Anolis sagrei: one gene and its partners. The protein of the gene in region 1 purifies or fractionates together with the protein of each later gene. This does not show direct contact. Links are inferred from orthologs where the notes say so. Each region holds a gene or a part of one and is shown in the gene's direction. Other genes may lie near its edges. The genes, in order: CDYL, MIER1 and EHMT2.

Region 1 (8,013 bases):
TTCAACTGTGTGAAAGGGGCCTAGATCACAAGTAGTACTTCTGTAGTGTAACACTTTAGATGAAGAAAGTGATGATAACATAAAGTGTTCACAAGTATGGTATTAAGAGATGGCAGAAAACTGGGAGAGAGCTAGCAAGTTGATTGGATAGTGCACAACAATGAATACAATCAAAATCTGGAAATATAAAATGTGATACGCTGCAGAGAAATGATAACAAACTTTATGTAACTTTGGCTATGTAGTCTTGCAAGTCACCGGGAATTTTTGTTTCCAATAGGTTATACAGAGATGTTCTAGTTTTAGTAAATATAAAGATTGTGCTATGAGAACACTGCTAGTGGACTTGATCACAACATGGAACTCTACTTGTATAATGCTAGATATTTTCATGCTACATATATTGTTGATCTAATTTACGTTCCTTGTTGAGAAACCTCTCCTGAACTTTTCTTTATTAGAGTGGAACTTGATTGAGAATGCCATTAGAGCACTAGTTTTGATAAAATAATTGATATTTCATAATGCTAATGTGTTGAATAGTTTGAATATTTCTGACAGTCATCCAGGATATACTTCAGTGTTTAAAGCAACATAGGTAACTTAAGAGAGGATGAGCACATGAAACCTCAAAAAAAGAAAAGAAAGCATCTGCTTTTGATATCATTGTTGAATGCTCAATCTGAGTGTATCTCATAATCTCAAGACATTTCGTACAAAAGACAATATTGGTCAACCAAACTGTTTTACCAAGAAAGAATATATATATATATATATATATATATATATATATATATATATATATATCCCTTTTTGGGCAAAGGTTTTTTTTTTCTCTAACCATAATTTATAACCCAGAAATAGTCAATGAAACTTCTGAAATGTCTGCATCTTCTACAAGAGTCATAGCTAAGACTGACCATGCAAAATGAAACTGAATATACAATAATGAGCAAAATTACGACTTTGGTGATTCACCTGTTAGGAAACAAATTCACTACTTCCCAGTCTGACATAAACCAAAAAAAAAAAAAACCCCTACTTTGTAATCCATCCATTTAAATCTCTTCTGAGAACATATTCAGTGCTGCAGAAATTGGTGTCAATAAGCTTTGCCCATCCATGGATTCTGCAAATGTAAACAACCTACAGTACTTTGTTTTAAAATCCTAGCTGCAGAAGAAGTGAAGTAATCCTGAGATGCATTTTGTCTTGTTCGATGTTCCCATACTCTACAAATCTGAAAATCAGTTCTTTGTATTTTCTTTCCAGGTAAACATACTTTCATTTTTTTGTAAATTGACTTCCTTCTTAAAATCCTGATTTTAGGTGTATGAGAAATTATGATACATTAACTTTATATTGTCTGAGTATTTTTGAATGTATGTCAAACATCACTTGATGCTGCTGTCCATAGTTGACTGGGTCTTGATTCTGTAACTATATTTTGCCCTGAGAGGAAGCCACACTTTAGAGGAAATATTTAATTAATTTTATTCTGCTGGATCTGAAGACATTTTCTAGGAAGCCATTCATGAATTTTCCTGCTGTTGTATGAATTTCTTCTTGCTCAAATTGTCTGCTAGCATTTTGTTTCTGTGACAATAAATCCCTACATAGCCAATTGATATTTTGATAAATTGATAAAATAACTCAGGAATTTAGTAAAACAAAATTGGTAAATAGGCAAAGGTGAAAGAAGAAAACGCAAAAGCTGGGTTGCAGTTAGACATAAAAAAAACCAAGATTATGGCAACAAGAATGATTGACAACTGGGATATACAGGGGGGAAACGTAGAGGCAGTGACAGACTTTGTATTTCTAGGTGCAAAGATTACTGCAGACGCAGACTGCAGCCAGGAAATCAGGAGATGCTTACTTCTTGGGAAGAGAGCAATGACCAATCTTGATAAAATAGTGAAGAGTAGAGACATCACACTGGCAACAAAGATCCGCATAGTTAAAGCAATGGTATTCTCCATAGTCACCTACGGATGTGAGAGCTGGACCATAGGGAAGGCTGAGCGAAGGAAGACAGATGCTTTTGAACTGTGGTGTTGGAGGAAAGTTTTGAGAGTGTCTTGGACAGCAAGAACATCCAACCAGTCCATACGTCAGGAAATAAAGCCTGACTGGTCATTGGAGGGAAGGATATTAGAGACAAAGCTGAAGTATTTTGACCACATCATGAGGAGACAGGAAAGCTTAGAGAAGATAATTATGCTGGGGAAAATTGAAGGAAAAAGGAAGAGGGGCCGACCAAGGGCAAGATGGATGGATGGGATCCTTGAAGTGACTGGATTGACCTTGAAGGAGCTGGGGGTGGTGACGGCAGACAGGGAGCTCTGGCGTAAGCTGGTCCATGAGGTCACGAAGAGTTGGAAACGACTGAACGAATGAACAACAACAACAAATAGGCAAAGATGTGGACAGACGGAAACTAAGGATGAATGGGTCATAAAATAAATGGGAGTGGATGGACAGTGGAAGAGATCAGGAAGCACAATAAAATAGAAATAGGTGAAAGCAATAAAGGTAAAGATGAATGAGAAGACTAATCGGGAAAACTAAAAAAGGTGTTGAGTAGGGAATACTTCTAAGGTTACTAATAATGGAAATGCTAGATTGATGAACTGATAGAGATAATTGGATATGTAGAAGTTTAATGGAGGGAAAAGGAGTACAGGATGAAATATAAAAATTTTGGGAGATTGCAAATGGATGGGAATGACAGTCTGAATGTGCAAAATCCAAGTAGCCAGGGAGACCATATGGATGGTCAAGGCAAAGGGACAGGATAGTAAATGAAGCATGTAAACAACTGTTGATGCATTGATGGAGAGAATAAAGATAGTGAAATAGAACCTGTGAGAGATAAAACCATGAAATGTGAGAAAGCTAGGCAAATGAGAAATTTGAAATGGAAAAAAGGACAGGCAAATAAACAGATGGAAAGGATGAACTTATGCTGGTCACCATTTGCCAGAGATGGATTAGGATGGATCCAAGCTGGATCGGAGGAATTGAAAGGCAGGTTTAAAAGGAGAGGCTGAGCAAGAGGAAACATGGAGATGAGATATGAGTGTTAAATGATAGTGAAATGGACAAAGACCAGGCAGGAGAGGATGAGGAAGAAGAGGAGACATGGAGATGAGATATAAGTGTTAAATGATGGTGAAATGGATGAAGACCAGGCAGGAGAAAATGAGGAAGAAGCGGAGACATGGAGATGAGAAATGATGGTGAAATAGATGAAGACCAGGCTGGAGAAGATGGGGGGAAAGAGGATACATAGAGGTGTTAATGATGGTGAAGTGGATGGAGATCAGGAGGGAGAGGATGAGGAAGAAGAAGAAACATGGAGATTAGAAATGAATGTTAAATGATGGCAAAATGGATGAAGACAAGGAAGGAAAGGATGGAGAAGAAGAGGAGAAATGGAGATGAGAAATGATGGTGAAATGGATGAAGACCAGGCAGGAGAAGATGGGGAAGATTATACATAGAGGTGTTAACAATGGTGAAGTTGATGGAAACCAGGAGGGAGAGGATGAGGAAGAAGAAGAGACATGGAGATGCAAAATTAGTGTTAAATAATGGTGAAATATATGACGACCTGGAATGAAAGGATCGGGAAGAAGGGGAGAAATGGAGATGAGAAATGATGGTGAAATGGATAGAGACTAGGAAGGAGAGGATGATGAAGAAGGGGAGAAATGGAGATGAGAAAAGATGGTAAAACGGATGAAGACCAGGAAGAAGATGAGGAAGAGACATGGAGATGAGAAATTAGTATTAATTAATGGTGGAATGGAGGAAGAAGAGGAGACATGGAGATGGGAAATGTTGATGAAATGGATGAAGACCAGGAAGGAGAAGATGAGGAAGAAGAGACATGGAAATGAGAAATGATGGTAAAATGAATGAAGACCAGGAAGAAGATAAGGAAAAAGAGACACAGAGATGAGAAATTAGTGTTAATTAATGGTGGAATGGAGGAAAAAGAGGAGACATGGAAATGGGAAATGTTGATGAAATGGATGAAGACCAGGCAGGAGAAGATGAGGAAGAAGAGGCGACATGGAGATGAAAAATTAGTGTTAATTAATGGAGGAAGAAGAGGAGACATGGAGATGGGAAATGTTGATGAAATGGATTAAGACCAGGAAGGAGAAGATGAGGAAGAAGAGATGACATGGAGATGAAAAATTAGTGTTAATTAATGGAGGAAGATGAGGAGACATGGAGATGGGAAATGTTGATGAAATGGATGAAGACCAGGCAGGAGAAGAAGAGGCGACATGGAGATGAGAAATTAGTGTTAATTAATGGAGGAGGAAGAGGAGACATGGAGATGGGGAATGTTGATGAAATGGATGAAAACCAGGCAGGAGAAAATGAGGAAGAAGAGGCGACATGGAGATAAGAAATTAGTGTTAATTAATGGTGGAATGGAAGAAGAAGAGGAGACATGGAGATGGGAAATGTTGATGAAATGGATGAAAACCAGGAAGGAGAAGAAGACCAGGAAGGAGAACATGGAGATAGACCAAGAAGAGGTGACATGGAGATAAGAAATTAGTGTTAATTAATGGTGGAATGGAAGAAGAAAAAGAGACATGGAGATGGGAAATGTTGATGAAATGGATGAAGACCAGGCAGGAGAAGATGAGGAAGAAGAGGAGATGAGAAATGCTGGTGAAATGGTGAAGGACATCAAGTTGGGCCACCAATGGAAGAAGAAGGTTAGCCAATGGGGACTTGAAGGAATGGTGGCCAAGCATGCCTGGGAGGTGGGTCCAGTTGCCCCTTGAGAAGAAGTTTGGGAAGCCCCATTTTCCTTGGCCAATGGGGGCCCAGCCCTTCCTTCCAACATGGCTGCCAGGCTCCACCACTTCCTCCCACGAGGCGCAGGGTGGCCTCGCCCCCCCCTCCTCCTGGCGCCCCTCCTCCCTATTTCCTTGGTGGCTCCTCCCCTTTTTCCCCTCCCGGCGGCCATTGGCCCAATCGCGGCCGCCCCCTCGCGCCGCCGCTCAGCTGAGGAGACAATGGGCGATCAAAGGAGGGGAGGGGGAGGAGGAAGAGGAGGAGGAGGAAGAAGAAGAGGAGGAGGGTGGCGGTGCTGCTAGAGCCGTGGGGCGCGAGCTCGGCGCTCGATTGGCCAGCCTAGAAGGAAGGAGGGAAGGAAGGAAGGAGCCAGGCACCGAGGAGGAGGAGGAGGAGAGGGATCGTCGCCTCTTCCTCCCTTTCCAGCGAGAGTGAGTGCGAGTGTGAGTGCGGGAGGGAGCTGAGGGAGCCCCACTGCGCAGCTTGTTCTGCGCACGAGCACCACCACCACAAGGAGCAGCAGCCGAGGCAGCACCAGAGGGAGAAGGACGGCGAGGAAGAGGAGAGCGGCACCTCGGGCTGAAGAGGAGGAGGAGGAGGAGCGCCGTGGCGAGCGAGGAGTGGGAGCCGAGGCCCCACCTCCCTCCCTCCCTCTTCCCCTCAAGTGAGACAAAAGTCTCTCCAAACCCGCGCCCAACTCCTCCACCTTGGGAGGCATGGCTTCCGAGGAACTCTATGAGGTAACAGCCTTGCCGCCTGCTTTCGGGCCCCTCTCTCTCCCTTCCCCCTCCCTTCCCCCTCTCCCTCGGCCTAGGTGCGTGTGCTGCTTGTGTGCTTCCAAATTACGCCCCTCTCTGGGCGCCCTCCCCCAGTTTGCTCTCTCTCTCTCTCTTTCTTTCAGGGAGGAGGACGGAAATAGGACTGGAGGAGGAGGAGGAGGCGGCGGCAAAGTGCTGCCCGTTGGCTTCCTCTGCCACTCTTCTTCTTCTAATCCAACTCCACAGCCAGCCAGCCCAAGCCTTCCTCTCCTCCTCCTCCTCCTCTTCTGGTCTCGCCACGAGGAGAAGGTGGTGGCCAAGCCAAGAGGCGCTGACAGCCCTCGCTCTCGCACTCTTCTTTCTTTTCTTTTTTTTGCACACCAAAGTCGGTTGTGTGCACAAAATAAGGGGCGTGTGTGCGTGCCAAAGCAAGCCCTGTCCTCTACTGGGAGGGCAAGAAGGACAGCTCTCTCTATTTCTCCCCCCTCCCCCCAATCCCCACTCTTGTTGGATCTCCATTTCTGACCCCCTTCTAGAGTGGATGCAAAACACAACACCCAACTGAGGCGCCTCCACATCCTAAGTTTTGGATTGGTGTTTTGTCCCTCTTCCCCCAAAGTGTACTTGAGACGTCAACGTCATTGCTTTCCCCTCCTCCGCTCTTGAGAAATGGCTGAACTACTGAGTGGCATCCATTGGGGTCTTCTCTCTCTCTGGCTGAGAAGGAGGTGACTCTTTCTTTGATTTCCGGTCTTCTGTGGGCAGTTTCCTATCCCTCATGCCTTCAGGAGCACGTTGGGATTCCTCTTGGATGTAACTTCCTGGTTTGGAGATTTCACCAAGGGATGGAAGAGCCATGAGAAGCATGCTTGGCCATAGTTTTCTTGACCTTTCTGCAAGTACAGTAGTACAACCCCTGTATCCACAACAACCACTAATCCTATGTTTTGATAATACTTGTATTGGTAGAATGCCATAGAACAGCACTCAAGGATCTAGAGCAGTGGTTCTCAACCTCTGAAGTTCTCACAAACTCTGAGGACGCCAGGAGAGCAAGCTTATGAAACATGGCCATGCTCCCCCCCCCCCATCTGCTCTTGAGAAATGGCTGAACCACTGAGTGGCATCCATTGGGGTCTTCTCTCTCTCTGGCTGAGAAGGAGGTGACTTCTTTCTTTGATTTCCGGTCTACTGTGGCCAGTTTCCTATCCCTCATGCCTTCAGGAGCACGTTGGGATTCCTCTTGGATGTAACTTCCTGGTTTGGAGATTTCACCAAGGGATGGAAGAGCCATGAGAAGCATGCTTAGCCATAATTTTCTTGACCCTTGTTCAAGTACAGTGCAACCCCTGTATCCACAGGGGATGCCTTCCAAGACCCACATGGATACTCAAAATCATGAACAACCACTGATCCTATGTTTTGATAATACTTGCATTGGAAGAATGCCATAGAACAGCACTCAAGGATCTAGAGCAGTGGTTCTCAACCTCTGGGGTTCTCACAAACTCCGAGGATACCTGCCATAGACGTCAGGAGAAAAAGCTTCTGAAACATGGCCATGCTTCCCCCCCCCCCTTCACTCTTGACAAATGTCTGAACCACTGAGTGGCATCCATTGGGGTCTTCTCCCTCTCTGGCTGAGAAGAAGGTGACTCCTCTTTCTTTGATTTCCGGACTTCTGTGGGCAGTTTCCTATCCTTCATGCCTTCAGGAGCACGTTGGGATTTCTTTTGGATGTAACTTCCTGGTTTGGAGATGTCACCAAGGGATGGAAGAGCCATGAGAAGCATGCTTAGCCATAGTTTTCTTGACCTTTCTGCAAGTACAGTGCAACCCCTGTATCCACAGGGGATGCCTTCCAAGACCCACATGGATACTCAAAATCACGAACAACCACTGATCCTATGTTTTGATAATACTTGCATTGGAAGAATTCCATAGAACAGCACTCAAGGATCTAGAGCAGTGGTTCTCAACCTCTGAGGTTCTCACAACCTCTGAGGATGCCTGCCATAGACGTCAGGAGAGAAAGCTTCTGAAACATGGCCATACAGCCCTGAAAACCCACAGCCACCCGGTTCTGAACATGTTGGTCCTCAGATGTTTTGGGCCTTCAACTCCCAGAAATCCTAACAGTAGTAAACTGGCTGGGATCTCTGGGAGTTGTAGGCCAAACCACTGAGAACCACTGATCTAGAGGGGTCCACAAACACTTCTGGGGGATTATTTTGTTTGTTTGTTTTGAGGCATGCGTAAGTGAAGCCATGGATGTTGAAGCCATGGATAAGGAGGTTATACTGTACACATTTCAATAGGTGTCCACTGTACATCTGTGTTGTCTTAGATTGCTGAACCTGGAATCGTAGAACCATTGAAGTATCTTGAACAAAGCCTATAAAGCTTGGCCTATAATATTGAACACAGT
Region 2 (7,079 bases), about 79 Mb from region 1:
AAGATTGAGAGAGAGCCAATAGACTGTTAAGTAAACCTTAAAGTACCTGTTTGTTTTCATTAATAAAGAACTTTGTTGAACCTTTAAGCAATCTAAAGACTCTGATTTAAGGAAATCCAAGGGCCTTTAACCTGAGGCAGCCCCGGCATCCCGTTGGGCACACAGAATTTAAGTCCTTTCTACAATTTTATGCACAGGCCCAGTGTGCGACAGCACATGTGGACTCGGATAACCCAGTTCAAAGTAGATATTGTGGGATTTTTTGCCTTTTATTTTATTTTTATTTATTGTGTCAGGAGCAACCAGACATTTGTATTACATTTTTAATAAAACAAACAAACAAACTGACAAAACACAAAGTTTGCGAGCTTGGTAGTTGATTAAATGTCTTTTGACCAGTAGCTGGCCACTTGGAGTGCCTCTGGTATTGCCGCAAGGAGGTATTGGCTGCTACTTCCCGGCGGATGTCAGGTGGTGCAATACCGGCTAGACAGTGTATTTTCTCCATTGGTGTAGGGCGCAGACACCTGTGATGATGCAGCATGTCTCATTAAGAGCCACATCCACTGTTTTAGCATGGTGAGATGTGTTCCACACTGGGCAAGCATACTCAGCAACAGAGTAGCATAGCGCAAGGGCAGATGCCTTCACTGTGTCTGGTTGTGATCCCCAGGTTGTGCCAGTCAGCTTTCGTTTCTAGTACCCACTTTTTGCTTGATTTTCTGCCTTGATATTCTGGGATATAGAGCTGTGTGGAAAGGTCCTTCATTGCATATAATATCCAGATGATATGCATTGAACTGGGGCCCCTTCCACACCTCTGAACAAAATCCCACATTATCTGCTTTGAGCTGGGGTATATGACAGTGTGGACTCAGATAACCTAGTTCAAAGCAGATATTGTGAGATTTTCTGCCTTGACATTCTGGGATATAGAGCTATATGGAAAGGTCCTACATTGCGTATAAAATCCAGATGATCTGCTTTGAATTGGGGTCCCTTCCACACCTCTGAACAAAATTGGGGTATATGACAGAGTGGACTCAGATAAGCCAGTTCAAAGCAGATATTGTGGGATTTTCTGCCCTGATATAATAGGTTATACTAGCTGTGCCCTGCCACGCGTTGCTGTGGCCTATAGTAAAACTTATCAAAGTTGAGGTAGATATCTGGACTATTATGAAAGAGAGGTACCTACCTATTCCTTCCCCCTTTTCCTCCCCCTTTCTCTACTTTCTTCCTTCTCTCCCTCTTTCTTTCTTTCCTTCTTTCACTACTTGGTTTCATCCTTCTCTCTTTCCTTCATTCCCTCCCCCTTTCTTCCTTTGCCTTTCTTCCCTCCCTGTTTGCTTCCTTCTTTCACTTTTGATTTCCTTTTATTTCACCACCATCATAACAATAACAATAATGCAATGCATTGCCTCTGGGACCTGACACCTCTCCCATTCCCCCTAAAAGGGTCTCATAGGAACAATAGCATCATAATAATAATAATAGAAATAACAACCTTTACCCGCCACGTGTTGCTGTGGCCAATCTTCCCTCTTTCTCTCCTTCTTTCCCTCCCTGTGTGTGTGCGGCGGCGGGGGGAGTGGGGTTGCATGTGTGTGCGGCGGTGGGGGGAGTGATGGAGCGTGGGGTTGCGTGTGTGTGTGCGGCAGCGGGGGGAGTGATGGAGCGTGGGGTTGCGTGTGTGCGTGCGGCAGGGGGTGTGTGTGTGCAGGAAGCGGCGCGGCGGGGCTTGGAGTGGGCATGGTTTCCGCAGAGGGAACGTTGGCCGGAAGGCCATGTGTGCGCGCGATGGAACTTGCGGCTGGGCGCCAATGCGCATGCTCAGTTGTTTTGCCGTTTTGTGAGTGTGTTGTGTTGTTTTTCATTTTGAGTAGATATGTTTGTACCTTGTGGGTTGTGTTATGGGCACGGGAATTTTGGTTAAGTTTCGTTGGGGGATTTTTGAGTTTTGTTGTTTTGCCGTTTTGTGAGTGTGTTGTGTTGTTTTTCATTTTGAGTAGATATGTTTGTACCTTGTGGGTTGTGTTATGGGCACGGGGATTTTGGTTAAGTTTCGTTGGGGGATTTTTGAGTTTTGTTGTTTTGCCGTTTTGTGAGTGTGTTGTTGTGTTGTTTTTCATTTTGAGTAGGTATGTTTGTACCTTGTGGGTTGTGTTATGGGCACGGGGATTTTGGTTAAGTTTCGTTGGGGGATTTTTGAGTTTTGTTGTTTTGCCGTTTTGTGAGTGTGTTGTTGTGTTGTTTTTCATTTTGAGTAGATATGTTTGTACCTTGTGGGTTGTGTTATGGGCATGGGAATTTTGGTTAAGTTTCGTTGGGGGTTTTTTGAGTTTTGTTTCCTTGTTGGATGCCCCTAACAAATTTATATATATAGATGGCTGTGTGGAAGGGCCCTGGGTTACTGAGTCCACAGTGAGATATATCCCAGTTCAAATCAGATAATGTGGGATTTTATTCAGTTACTAGCTGTCCCCTGCCACGCGTTGCTGTGGCCCAGTCTGGTGATCTGGAAAATAAAGTAATGAGAAAGTGTTGGTTTCTAATATATGTAATTCCTTTATGCTTGTGAGTAAACAGTATTTCTTGTTGTTTCTTTGTCAGTGTTGATGTGGAGAGTGTCTGGTTTGCCACCTCTGGAATATGCAACCTATCATAGTCCTTCTTTAAGGGTCTCTTTCAAATCTATGATCCTATATCTCTCTGTGTGTGAGAGAATCATATCTATCTATCTATATTTATGACTGGATGGCTCTTTGTCAGGAGGGCTCTGATTACGTTTTCTTGCCCTGGTGAAGAGAGTTGGACTGGATGGCCTTAAGTATTTTCTGTTGGTCATGGGGGTTCTGTGTGGGAAGTTTGCCCCATTTCTGTCGTTTGTGGGTTTCAGAATGCTCTTTAATTGTAGTGAACTATAAATCCCAGTAACTACAAATCCCAAATGTTAAGGTCTATTTCCTCCAAACTCCATCTGTGTTCATATTTAGGGATATGGAATTTTTGTGTCAAGTTTGGTCCAGATCCATCGTTTGAGTCCACAGTGCTCTCTGGATGTAGGTGAACTACAACTCCCAAACTCAAGGTCAATGCCCACCAAACCCTTCCAATGTGTTCTGTTGGTCATGGAAGTCCTGTATGGCATGTTTGGTTGAATTCCATCATTGGTGGAGTTCAGAATGCTCTTTGATTGTAGGTGAACTATAAATCCCAGTAAGTACAAATCCCAGATGTCAAGGTCTATTTCCTCCAAACTCCATCTGTGTTCATATTTGGGCATATGGAATATTCGTGCCAAGTTTGTTCCAGATCCATCATTTTTTGAGTCCACAGTGCTCTCTGGATGTGGGTGAACTATAATTCCCAAACTCAAGGTCAATGTCCACCAAACCCTTCCAGTTTTTTCTGTTGGTCATGGGAGCCCTGTGTGGCCCAATTCCATCCTTGGTAGAGTTCAAAATGCTCTTTGATTGTAGGTAAACTATAAATCCCAGCAACGACAATTCCCAAATGACAAAATCATTTTTTTTGAGTGGAGGACATAAATTGGACTGTTAGGTGTCTTGTGTCCAAATTTGGTGTCAATTCCCCCAGTGGTTTTTGAGTTTTGATGGTAGCACGAACTAACATGACATTTTTATTTATAGAGACTGGAAGGGGCCCCAAAGACATGGGAAACATCTGCAATCTTGCGCGCTGTTATTATTATTATTATTATTATGCAAAGGCAGGCCTGCGTGACACCTAACGAGGGGGGCACGAGCCTTGCTCTATTCTTGCCCTCAAAAAGGAGGGGGGAGGGGGGAGCGAGCGTAATTACAGTTGGAAGAATGGGAGGGGGAAAAGGGAGGAGGGTGTCGTTTCTCGAACGCAGCGCGCGCGCGGAGGTTAAAAAAAAATAAAACCCCAATCAAACAAATGGTCTCGTGACTGGTCGAAAAAGGGAGGGGGAGGAGAGAGGAGGAGGAGGAGCGCGCGGGAGAGGCGTCGTCGTCGCCGCCGCTGCCGTCGCGGGCGCGCCCACCTCCTTTGCGTGGTGACGTCGCCGGGCCTCTTCCTCCCCCTGGTGGCGCCTTCCCTCCCTCCCTCTCTCCCTCCCTCCTTCCCTAGCAGAGCTCGCCGCCTCCCAGAGACCGCTGTGACCCGCCGCTCTCGCTCCCTTCCCGTGCCACTTCCTCCTCCTCCTCCGCCGCGGCGGCGATGTGATTACCCCACTCCCGGCTCGGCCCGCCCCAGCTGCGCGGCGAATATGGCGGAGGTGAGTGAGGGAGACCCGCGGGCGTCTAGAAGGAAGGAAGGAGGGAGGGAGGGGGAGAGGGAGGAGGAGGCCGGAGGAGGAGGAGGAAGAGGAGAGAGAGGGGAGTCGGGGCCCGGCCGGGAACTTGTTGCGCGGCAGCCTCTCTGTGCAAGTTAGTTCGGCTGAAGGTCCCAAGGCCGGCCTGGGTGGCAAGCGGGGCACGACTCGAACTCGCAGCCTTCTCAGGGCCCCACTGGAACTTGGAGGGGAAGGAGGGGGAGGAAGGGGGGAGCTCTGCCTTGGGACACAGGGAAGGTAAAGGGGAAAGGACATTTTTGGATGGAATAGCGAGGGAAAAGGCTGGTATCTTGCTGCCTGGGATGATCAAATTGTCACCCAAGTTGCCCCTACCTCGCTTTTTTGGCTATTGTTGAACTTACGACAGGCATGAGCAAACTTGGGCCCTTCAGGTGTTTTGGACTTCCACTCCTCCTACCATTCCTAACAGCCTCAGGCCCCATCCTTTTCCCTCTCAGCCACTTAAGGAAGTGGCCTGAGGCTGTTAGGAATGGTGGGAGTTGAAGTCTAAAAACATCTGGAGGGCCCAAGTTTGCTCATGCCCAATCTAGGTAATATTATTATCCTTTGATTTAGGGGACTCTTTATGCTGAACCTCTTTTTTCCTCTGTTCTTTCAAGCTGATTCATTTTTTTTAAAAAAAATAGTAAAATTTTTTTGCCCAGTCTTGACTATGCACCCCTCACCATGGAGCCCCCGGTGGCGCAGTGGGTTAAACCCCTGTGCCGGCAGGACTGAAGACCGACAGGTCGCAGGTTCGAATCCGGGGAGGCGGATGAGCTCCCTCTATCAACTCCAGCTCCTCATGCGGGGACATGAGAGAATCCTCTCACAAGGATGATAAAAAATCAAATCATCCGGGCGTCCCCTGGGCAACGTCCATGCAGACAGCCAATTCTCTCACACCAGAAGCGACTTGCAGTATCTCAAGTCACTCCTGACACGACAAAAAACAAAAAAAAAACCCTCACCATATGTCAACCCATAGCCATTTGTATCACAAGTTTATTATATTGGAGTCGATTTTTACCCCGCATGAGTACACCAAGGCAAGACCCAAAGCGACTTAACACAGGTATGGATAAGTTTCGGCCCTCCAGGTGTTTTGGACTTCAACTCCCACAATTCCTAAGAGCCTACCAACTGTTTGAAATTGTGGGAGTTGAAGTCCAAAACACCTGGAGGGCTGAAATTTGTCCATACCTGTGTTAAGTCGCTTTGGGTCTTGCCTTGGTGTACTCATGCGGGGTAAAAATCGACTCCAATATAATAAACTTGTGATACAAGTGGCTATGGGTTGACATATGGTGAGAACAGCCCTCAGATAACCCAGTTCAAAGCAGATGTTGTGGGATTATATGACTGTGTGGAAGGGTCCTCACTGAGCAAAATTGAATCTTAAAGGCTGTCCAATAACTCAAGATCCAGGTGGTGAAAGATACATAAAAATATAAAGATAGTGACTGAAGACCGCTTTTGAATTTAGCAAAAAAAACAAAACCCTACATAATATATAAGTCAAAGGAAATGCGAGTTGTCCAGAGCCATACCCAACATATATCTCACAACCACAGAAGTATATGTTTCAATCACTCAAAATGGATAGTAGTATAATGTAGAAATTTGGAACACGAAAGTTGGGTGTTCTTTACTGCTGAAGGCAAAGTCTTCAAACTACCTTATATACTTATTTATAAGTTGACTTCATGTATAAGTCAGGTTCAGGTTTAGGGTTCAGAATTATGGATTTTGCTATGACCTGTGGATAATCGAAGAGTCATTTCACAGAGAGGGGAAGTGCCGTCTCCTCAAGTCCATCACTGCCATTTCCCCACCCAGGCATTCAAAAAGACTAGAAGTGATGCCAAGACAGAGAGAGTAGAGACGGCTGGTGCTTCTTTTAAGTTTTCCTGGAATAGTCTAAGCTCTTACCTTTCACCACTGTACTCAGAGAAAGAATGGTCTCTTTTTATATACAAGAGCTAAGATATAGTACTCACATTGACTCATGGGTAAGTCAGCCCAGTTTTTCTGAGTTAGTTTTTTTGACTATTTTTTTAGACCTATACATAAGTATATAGGGTAAGATTGTAAATAGTTACTCACCTAAGTTTAATTCTGGTGTTTCTCCAAGCAGTAATGCTATGTACATGGTGTCTTTATTTTGGACATTTTAAAAGTTACATGAATGTTCTATGTTGAGTCATTTCTGAAACTTTAGTGCTGTGATTAATAGATTCCCTCATCTCAGTGACTTCTTTGAAGGAGAAAATTTCATGTGTTTACAACTCAGTTGGACTCTGCATGGAGTCCCTATGCTATCCATACTTTAAATATGTGACAAAGGAAAGAGTTGAACACCTGCTTTATCCTATATATTTCATTTTTTCCAAGGTGGTTATCAGAAGCATTTTTTTTAATGATAGAATTTTCACCATGTTTATTTATGCATTTGTGATATGTATGGAATTCTGCACTTCACAGTGGATTATATAGAAGTTCTAAAAGCATAGTAAACAAAGCAATAAAATAAATACAATTAGCAGCAAAATAATTATTAAAAATAGATACTGAGAGTAAAAGGTGTTTTACTCTTAATCTTTATTTTAAATTAGTTTTGAAATGATCCTTAGATCAAAACAACATGGGCAAGAAAACTCAACACACCAAAACAACTAGACATTATAGTATCAGGATGCCACAATGGAAGAGGCAATAATAAACAACTTTGTACATTTTCTAGGCCTAGTGAAACCAT
Region 3 (7,287 bases), on another chromosome or scaffold:
TAAATAAAAACCAATAAAAGCTGCTGTAATTTTGTTGCTTTGTTTAGACCGTGGGTGAAACATCAGTGAGGAATGGGACAAGTATTCCTGGCAGTTTGTGTATGGAAATGGCCTTCAACATTACTTTACTTACTTAGGGGATCCCTCGTAGTCCAAATATAATGGTCCTCCAAATGTAGTGTCTTGCTGATGGGTCGTAGGTGGCTGTGGAGACCTTTTCTTGATCCGCATCTTCTTCCACAGTGAGGACATTGATTTCCAGGTGGAAGGTGGTCCCAGTCAGGGTTGGCTTGACGTGCCTTCCTCTTGGCACATTTCTCCCTTTCGCCCTCAATTCGAGACTCTTCGAATTCTGCAGCACTGCTGGTCACAGCTGACCTTGAGTGTTCAAGGGCCAGGGCTTCCCAGTTCTTCGTGTCTATGCTACCGTATTTAAGGTTGGCTTTAAGACCATCTTTAAATCTCTTTTCCTATCCACCAACATTAAGTTTCCTGTTCTTGAGTTCAGAGTATTGTAACTGCTTTTGGAGATGGTGATTGGGCGTTCAGACAACGTGGCCAGTTCAACGAAGTTGATGGTGTAGAAGCATTGTTTCAATGCTGGTGGTCTTTGCTTCTTCCAGCACACTGACATTTGTCCATCTGTCTTCCCAAGAGATTTGCAGGATTTTTCGGAGGCAATGCTAATGGAATTGTTCCAAGAGTTGAGTGTGATGTCTGTAGACAGTCCACGTTTCGCAGGTATATAGCAGGGTTGGGAGGACAATCTATATATATAAAAATGCTCTGTGCGTAATGAGTACCTTAAAAACAAAAGAACCAATGAACGAAATAACACCAAATTTGGCAACAAAACATCTCACAACACAAGGAGTGACCATCACTCAAAAATTATGATTTTGTCATTTGGGAGTTGTAGTTGCTGGGATTTATAGTCCACCTATAACCAAAGAGCATTCTGAACTCCATCAACGATTGAATTGAACCAAATTTGGCACACAGGACTCCCCTGGCCAACAGAAAACACTAGAAGGGTTTGCTGGGCATTGACCTTGAGTTTTGGAATTGTAGTTCACCTACATCCAGAGAGCACTGTGGACTCAAACAATGATGAATCTGGACCAAATTTGGCACGAATATTCAATATAAACACAGATGGAGTTTGGGGAAAATAGACCTTGACATTTGGGAGTTGTAGTTACTGGGATTTATAGTTCACCTACAATCAAAGAGCATTCTGAATACCACCAATGACAGAATTGGGACAAACTTCCCACACAGAACCCCCATGGCCAACAGCGTTTTCTGGTGGTCACAAAAAGGGAGGAGAAAGAGGAGGCCATCCTTCCTATGGAGGGAATTAAACCTGGAGGTTTGATGCGCCCAATAAAGAGCCCCCTGAACACCTGTGTCTAAACATGTTGGACAGAGACACGTGTTTCCCAAGGAAGGGGCCTTGTCTGGGGGGGAGGGGGAATAAGGAAAGGGATCCCCAATGAGTCTCACTTTACTTTGGATGTCCAGTCAAGCAGCGAAGCTTGCTTTTTCCCTCTCTCCTTGAAAATGGTCCTTCCTACCCACTGGTTCTGCATCCACAACTTGCTGATAGGAAGACAAAAGCTGCTGAGCTTGTTGACTGAAAGGTCACAGGTTCAAATCCGGGGAGTGGCTTGAGCTTCCGTTGTCAGCCCCAGCTTCTGCCAACCTAGCAGTTTGAAAACATGCAAATGTGAGTAGATCAATAGGTACCGCTCCGGCGGGAAGGTAACAGCACTCCATGTAGTCATGCCGGCACATGACCTTGGAGGTGTCTATGGACAACGCTGGCTCTTTGGCTTAGAAATGGAGATGAGCACCAACCCCCAGAGTCAGACACGACTGGACTTCAAGTCTGGGGAAAACCTTTACCTTTACCTGTGTATATAATGGGGAAAAGATTAATAAATGTTTCCTGGGGACAGGAGCTGTTTGATAGTGAAATATGCTGCTGCCTTGGGGTGTAGAGGAGTCTCCTTCCCTGAAGGGTTTTAAGCAGATGCTGGGTGGTCATCTGTCAGGAGTGCTTTGATTGTGTATTCCTGCATGGCAGAATGGGGTTGGGCTGGTTGGATCTTGGGGTCTCTTTCAATTCTAGGATTCTTTGATTCTAAGAGAGTTCTGTCATCTACACTGTAGAACGAATGCAGTTTAATACTACTTTAACTATGTTATGGAATCACGGGATTCATAGTTTGGTGAGGGCTGGAACTAGTTAACAGAAGAAGGCGAAAGACCTTGGAAACCTACAACTCCTAGGATCCCACAGTAATTCAAGTGGCGACAGAGTGACTCCTGAAATGCAGAGAAGACTAAAGATCTCATGAAACTACAACTCCCATGGTTCCATAGCATTGGGCCATGCATAGCAGATCCAGTGAGGTCAAACGGAACAACTTCTTTAACTATGCTATGGAATAATGGGATTTATAGTTTGGTGAGGCTCCAGAACTAGTAGACAGAAGAAAGCAAAAGACCTTGGAAAAGTACAACTCCTAGGGATCCCATAGCAATTCAAGAGGTGACAGAGTGAATCCTGAGATGCAGATAAGACTAAACACTTTGTGAAACTAAAACTCCCAGTGTCCCATAGCATTGGCAGATCCAGTGGGATCAAACGGCACGGCTTCTTTAACTATGCTATGGAATCATGGGATTTATAGTTTGGTGAGGGTCCAGAACTAGTTGACAGAAGAAGGCTAAAGACCTTCGAAAACTACAGCTCCTAGGATCCCATAGCAATTCAAGTGGCAACAGAGTGAATCATGAGATGCAGAGAAGACCTTGTGAAACTACAACTCTCAGGGTCCCATAGCATTGGCAGATCCAGTGGGGTCAAACGGAACAACTTCTTTAACTATGCTACGGAATCATGGAATTTATAGTTTGGTGAGTCTCCAGAACTAGTTGACAGAAGGCTAAAGACCTTCGAAAACTACAATTCCTAGGATCCCACAGTAATTCAAGTGGCAACAGAGTGAATCATGACATGCAGAGAAGACTAAAAACCTTATGAAACTACAACTCTCAGGGTCCCATAGCATTGGCAGATCCAGTGGGGTCAAACGGTACTATGCTATGGAGTCGCGGGATTTATAGTTTGGTGAGTGCTAGAATTAGTTGACAGAAGAAAGCAAAAGACCTTGGAAAACTACAACTCCTAGGATCCCATAGCAATTCAAGTGGCAACAGAGTAAATCCTGAGATGCAGAGAAGACTAAAGACCTTGTGAAACTACAACTCCTAGTGTCCCATAGCATTAGCAGATCCAGTGGGGTCAAACGGCACGGCTTCTTTAACTTTGCTGTGGAATCATGGAATTTATAGTTTGGTGAGGCTCCAGAACTAGTTGACAGAAGGCTAAAGACCTTCGAAAACTACAACTCCTAGGATCCCATAGCAATTCAAGTGGCAACAGAGTGAATCATGAGATGTAGAGAAGACTAAAGACCTTGTGAAACTACAACTCCCAGTGTCCCATAGCATTGGCAGATCCAGTGGGGTCAAACGGCACGGCTTCTTTAACTATGCTATGGAATCACGGGATTTATAGTTTGGTGAGTGCTAGAATTAGTTGACAGAAGAAAGCAAAAGACCTTGGAAAACTACAACTCCTAGGGAACCCATAGCAATTCAAGTGGCGACAGAGTGAATCCTGAGATGCAGAGAAGACTAAAGACCTTGTGAAACTACAACTCCCAGTTTCTCATAGCATTAGCAGATCCAGTGGGGTCAAACGGTAGTATGCTATGGAGTCGCGGGATTTATAGTTTGGTGAGTGCTAGAATTAGTTGACAGAAGAAAGCAAAAGACCTTGTGAAACTACAACTCTCAGGGTCCCATAGCATTGGCAGAGCCAGTGGGGTCAAACGGCACGGCTTCTTTATGCTATGGAATCGCGGGATTTATAGTTTGGTGAGGGCTAGAATTAGTTGACAGAAGAAAGCAAAAGATCTTGGAAAACTACAACTCCTAGGGATCCCATAGCAATTCAGGTGGCGACAGAGTGAATCCTGAGATGCAGAGAAGAGTAAAGACCTTGTGAAACTACAACCCCCAGGGTCCCATAGCACTGGGCCATGCATGGCATGACTGTATAGAATGCACCCTGAGCCAGCCTTGGCCTCCTCCCCTTTTGTTGTCCTTGCTCTTTGTCTGAGCGCCAGGGAATCAAGCTGTGCTGCCCCTTTAAGAGATTTCCTCCTCCTCCTCTTTCCCTCCTCCTCCCCTTGCCTCGCTCGTGACGTCAGTGCGGGGCCGGGTCTGTTGCTGCTGCTGCTGCTGCTGCTTGGGCGCGAGGCCATGGAGGCTGCAAGCGCGGAGGTTTGGGGCTTCCGTGGCTAATGGCGGGAGATCGGTGGGGCGATGCAGAGAGAGGGGAAGGGGAAATAATCCCGAGGGTGGAAAGAGGAAGGGGCCCCGGTTTCCTCCCGTACTCATTGCATGTGGCCTTTGATTTTTGGGGAGCCACATGGGAGGGGCTTGGGTTTGCAAAGGAAATGCAAAAGAAATGTTTTGTGTGGGATGGAGGGGAAGGAGCTGTGCATGGGAGAAGCGGTAGTGTCTTGGAAATTTGGAAGTGCAGTCAAGGAAGGAAGATTCCCCACTGTTCCCAGATTGCATTGAGAGAATCATAGAGTTGGAAGAAGGACCCCAAGGGCTCTCCAGTCCAACCCCATTCTGCAATATAGAGCCAATAACTTTGGGACCTTGTCAGAAAAATCTCACAAATACTCCTTTTTTTCCTATTTTATGGACTTACAGATTCATAGTTGGGAGAGACCCCAAGGACAATCCAGTCTCACCCCATTCTTCCAGGCAGAAAGACACTATCAAAGTCCTCCTAGAATAATAGAATCAAAGAGTTGGAAGAGACCTCATGGGCCATCCAGTCCAACCCCCTGCCAAGAAGCAGAATATTGCATTCAAATCACCCCTGACAGATGGCCATCCAACCTCTGTTTAAAAGCTTCCAAAGAAGGAACCTCCACCACACTCCAGGGCAGAGAGTTCCACTGCTGAACGGCTCTCACAGTCAGGAAGTTCTTCCTCATGTTCAGACAGAATCTCCTCTCTTGTAGTTTGAAGCCGTTGTTCCGCATCCTAGTCTCCAAGGAAGCAGAAAACAAGCTTGCTCCCTCCTCCCTGTGGCTTCCTCTCACATATTTATACATGGCTATCATATCCCCTCTCAGCCTTCTCTTCTTCAGGCTAAACATGCCCAGCTCCTTAAGCCGCTCCTCATAGGGCTTGTTCTCCAGACCCTTGATCATTTTAGTCGCCCTCCTCTGGACACATTCCAGCTTGTCAATATCTCTCTTCAATTGTGGTGCCCAGAATTGGACACAATATTCCAGATGTGGTCTAACCAAAGCAGAATAGAGGGGTAGCATTACTTCCTGACAGATGACCACCCAGCCCCAGGTGAAGAACCACCAAAGAAGGAGACCCCACTAAGGGCCCTTCCACACAGCCCTATATCCCATAATATCAAGGCAGGAAATCTGCTTTGAGCTGGGTTATCTGAGTCTACACTGCCATATATTCCAGTTCAGAGCATAAAATGTGGGATTCTGTGTTATATGGCTGTGTGGAAGGGCCCTAAGCTCCAAGGCAGGATATTTCACTGCCCAACAACTCTTACCATCAGGAAGTTCTTTCTAATGTTTGGGTGCAATCTTTTTTCCCTGTAGTTTGAATCCATTGGTGCATTGTGTCCTAGTTTCCAGAGCAGCAGAAAACAAGTTTTCTCAATGGGACATTGTTTCAAGCATTTAAACAGGGATATCATGCCAATACTTCTTTTGATTTTCAATCTGGACAGTAAATGATGTTAAGATCACAAGTATCCTCCAGAAGGATGTACACAAACATTCATGTAGAGTTTCTAAGCATTTCCTGATAGAACAGTGTTTCTCAACCTAAAGGTCAGGACCTGGGGGGGGGGGGGGGGGAGTCGCGAGGGGGTGCCAGAGGGGTCTCCAAAGACCATCAGAAAACACAGTATTTTCTGGGTTGTTGTAGGTTTTTCAGGCTATATGGCCTTATTCTAGAAGCATTCTCTCCAGACATATCGTCTGCATCTATGACAGACATCCTCAGAGGTTGTGAGGACACAGTCCAGCCCGAAATAAATAAACAAGCGAAATAAATAAAGAAATCTGTGGATATGGAAGACCGACTATACTTGTATACCCGAATGGACCCTAGACCTTAATTTTAGATATTCAGTTGAGAGGAAAGGGCAAACATATAACACATAAACAATAAGATGTGAGATTCCCAATTGTTTTCAATAACTGCAAACCCAATTTCAATCTACATCAGGCATGGCCAAACTCTGGCCCTCCAGGTGTTTTGGACTTCAACTCCCACAATTCCTAGCAGCCTACCGGAGTTGGCCCATGCCTGGTGTAAATGCACCCCTTTTCTTCTTGAGTCTGCATAAGAGAAGTGGGCGGGGCTTACACCTTTGGCAATAGGCCACACCTCTTCTAGATGGGAGCTCCTTGATTAGAACTGGGTTGCACTTGGCTAGTTCTTGCCTCCAAATGGGTCGGAATTACTCCAAATGGGTCAGTTTATAGGAAAAACAGAGCAGGAAGAAGCAGGGGGGGAAAGATGCCCAAGAGGCAAGAAGATTATTTATTATTATTACCATTATTTTTGTTATTAGTATCAGTCTTATTGTGAAGTATGTCAGAAGAGGGTTGTCTGAAAGCTCTGGAGGGTTGAACTTGCTTTCAATTGTTTAAATAGCCAAGATTCAGATGTGGTTTGCCCATAGAAAGGTGTTTCCTGAATTTGGATTAAGGTTCTCTTAGGTATTGGCAGTTGTATGCTGTTGTCTATTTACTGTATTTTCAACCTTTGATACCTCTGGGCAGCACAATTGAAGGGAGATGTTGACAAGCTGGAATGTGTCCAGAGGAGGGCGACTCAAATGATCAAGGGGCTGGAGAACAAGCCCTAAGAGGAGCGGCTTAAAGAGCTGGGCATGTTTAGCCTGCAGAAGAGAAGGCTGAGAGGAGACATGATGAGGGCCATGTATAAATATGAGGGGAAGTCATAGGGAGGAGGGAGCAATCTTGTTTTCTGCTCCCCTGGAGACTAGGACATTGGACAATGGCTTCAAACTATAAGAAAGGAGATTCCACCTGAACATTAGGAAGAACTTCCTGACTGTAAGAGCTGTTCAGCAGTGGAACTCTCTGCCCCGGAGTGTGGTGGAGGCTCCTTCTTTGGAGGCTT

Evidence for each region.
Region 2: the proteins of CDYL (region 1) and MIER1 purify together in Homo sapiens (co-immunoprecipitation; 3 studies listed by BioGRID and IntAct, counting the BioPlex papers as one, with this or other methods). This does not show direct contact. The link is inferred for Anolis sagrei from reciprocal best matches to the Homo sapiens genes CDYL and MIER1.
Region 3: the proteins of CDYL (region 1) and EHMT2 purify together in Homo sapiens (affinity purification with mass spectrometry; 4 studies listed by BioGRID and IntAct, with this or other methods). This does not show direct contact. The link is inferred for Anolis sagrei from reciprocal best matches to the Homo sapiens genes CDYL and EHMT2.

The regions. Positions count from the first base shown.
Region 1 is NC_090024.1:86,533,037-86,541,049, reverse strand, and holds the start of CDYL (chromodomain Y-like protein), read left to right. Parts: upstream 1-4,997; 5' UTR 4,998-5,543; coding exon 5,544-5,567; intron 5,568-8,013.
Region 2 is NC_090024.1:165,101,601-165,108,679, reverse strand, and holds the start of MIER1 (mesoderm induction early response protein 1), read left to right. Parts: upstream 1-4,034; 5' UTR 4,035-4,255; coding exon 4,256-4,264; intron 4,265-7,079. UniProt on the Homo sapiens protein: Transcriptional repressor regulating the expression of a number of genes including SP1 target genes. Probably functions through recruitment of HDAC1 a histone deacetylase involved in chromatin silencing.
Region 3 is NC_090022.1:18,398,905-18,406,191, forward strand, and holds the start of EHMT2 (histone-lysine N-methyltransferase EHMT2), read left to right. Parts: upstream 1-4,286; 5' UTR 4,287-4,338; coding exon 4,339-4,359; intron 4,360-7,287. UniProt on the Homo sapiens protein: Histone methyltransferase that specifically mono- and dimethylates 'Lys-9' of histone H3 (H3K9me1 and H3K9me2, respectively) in euchromatin.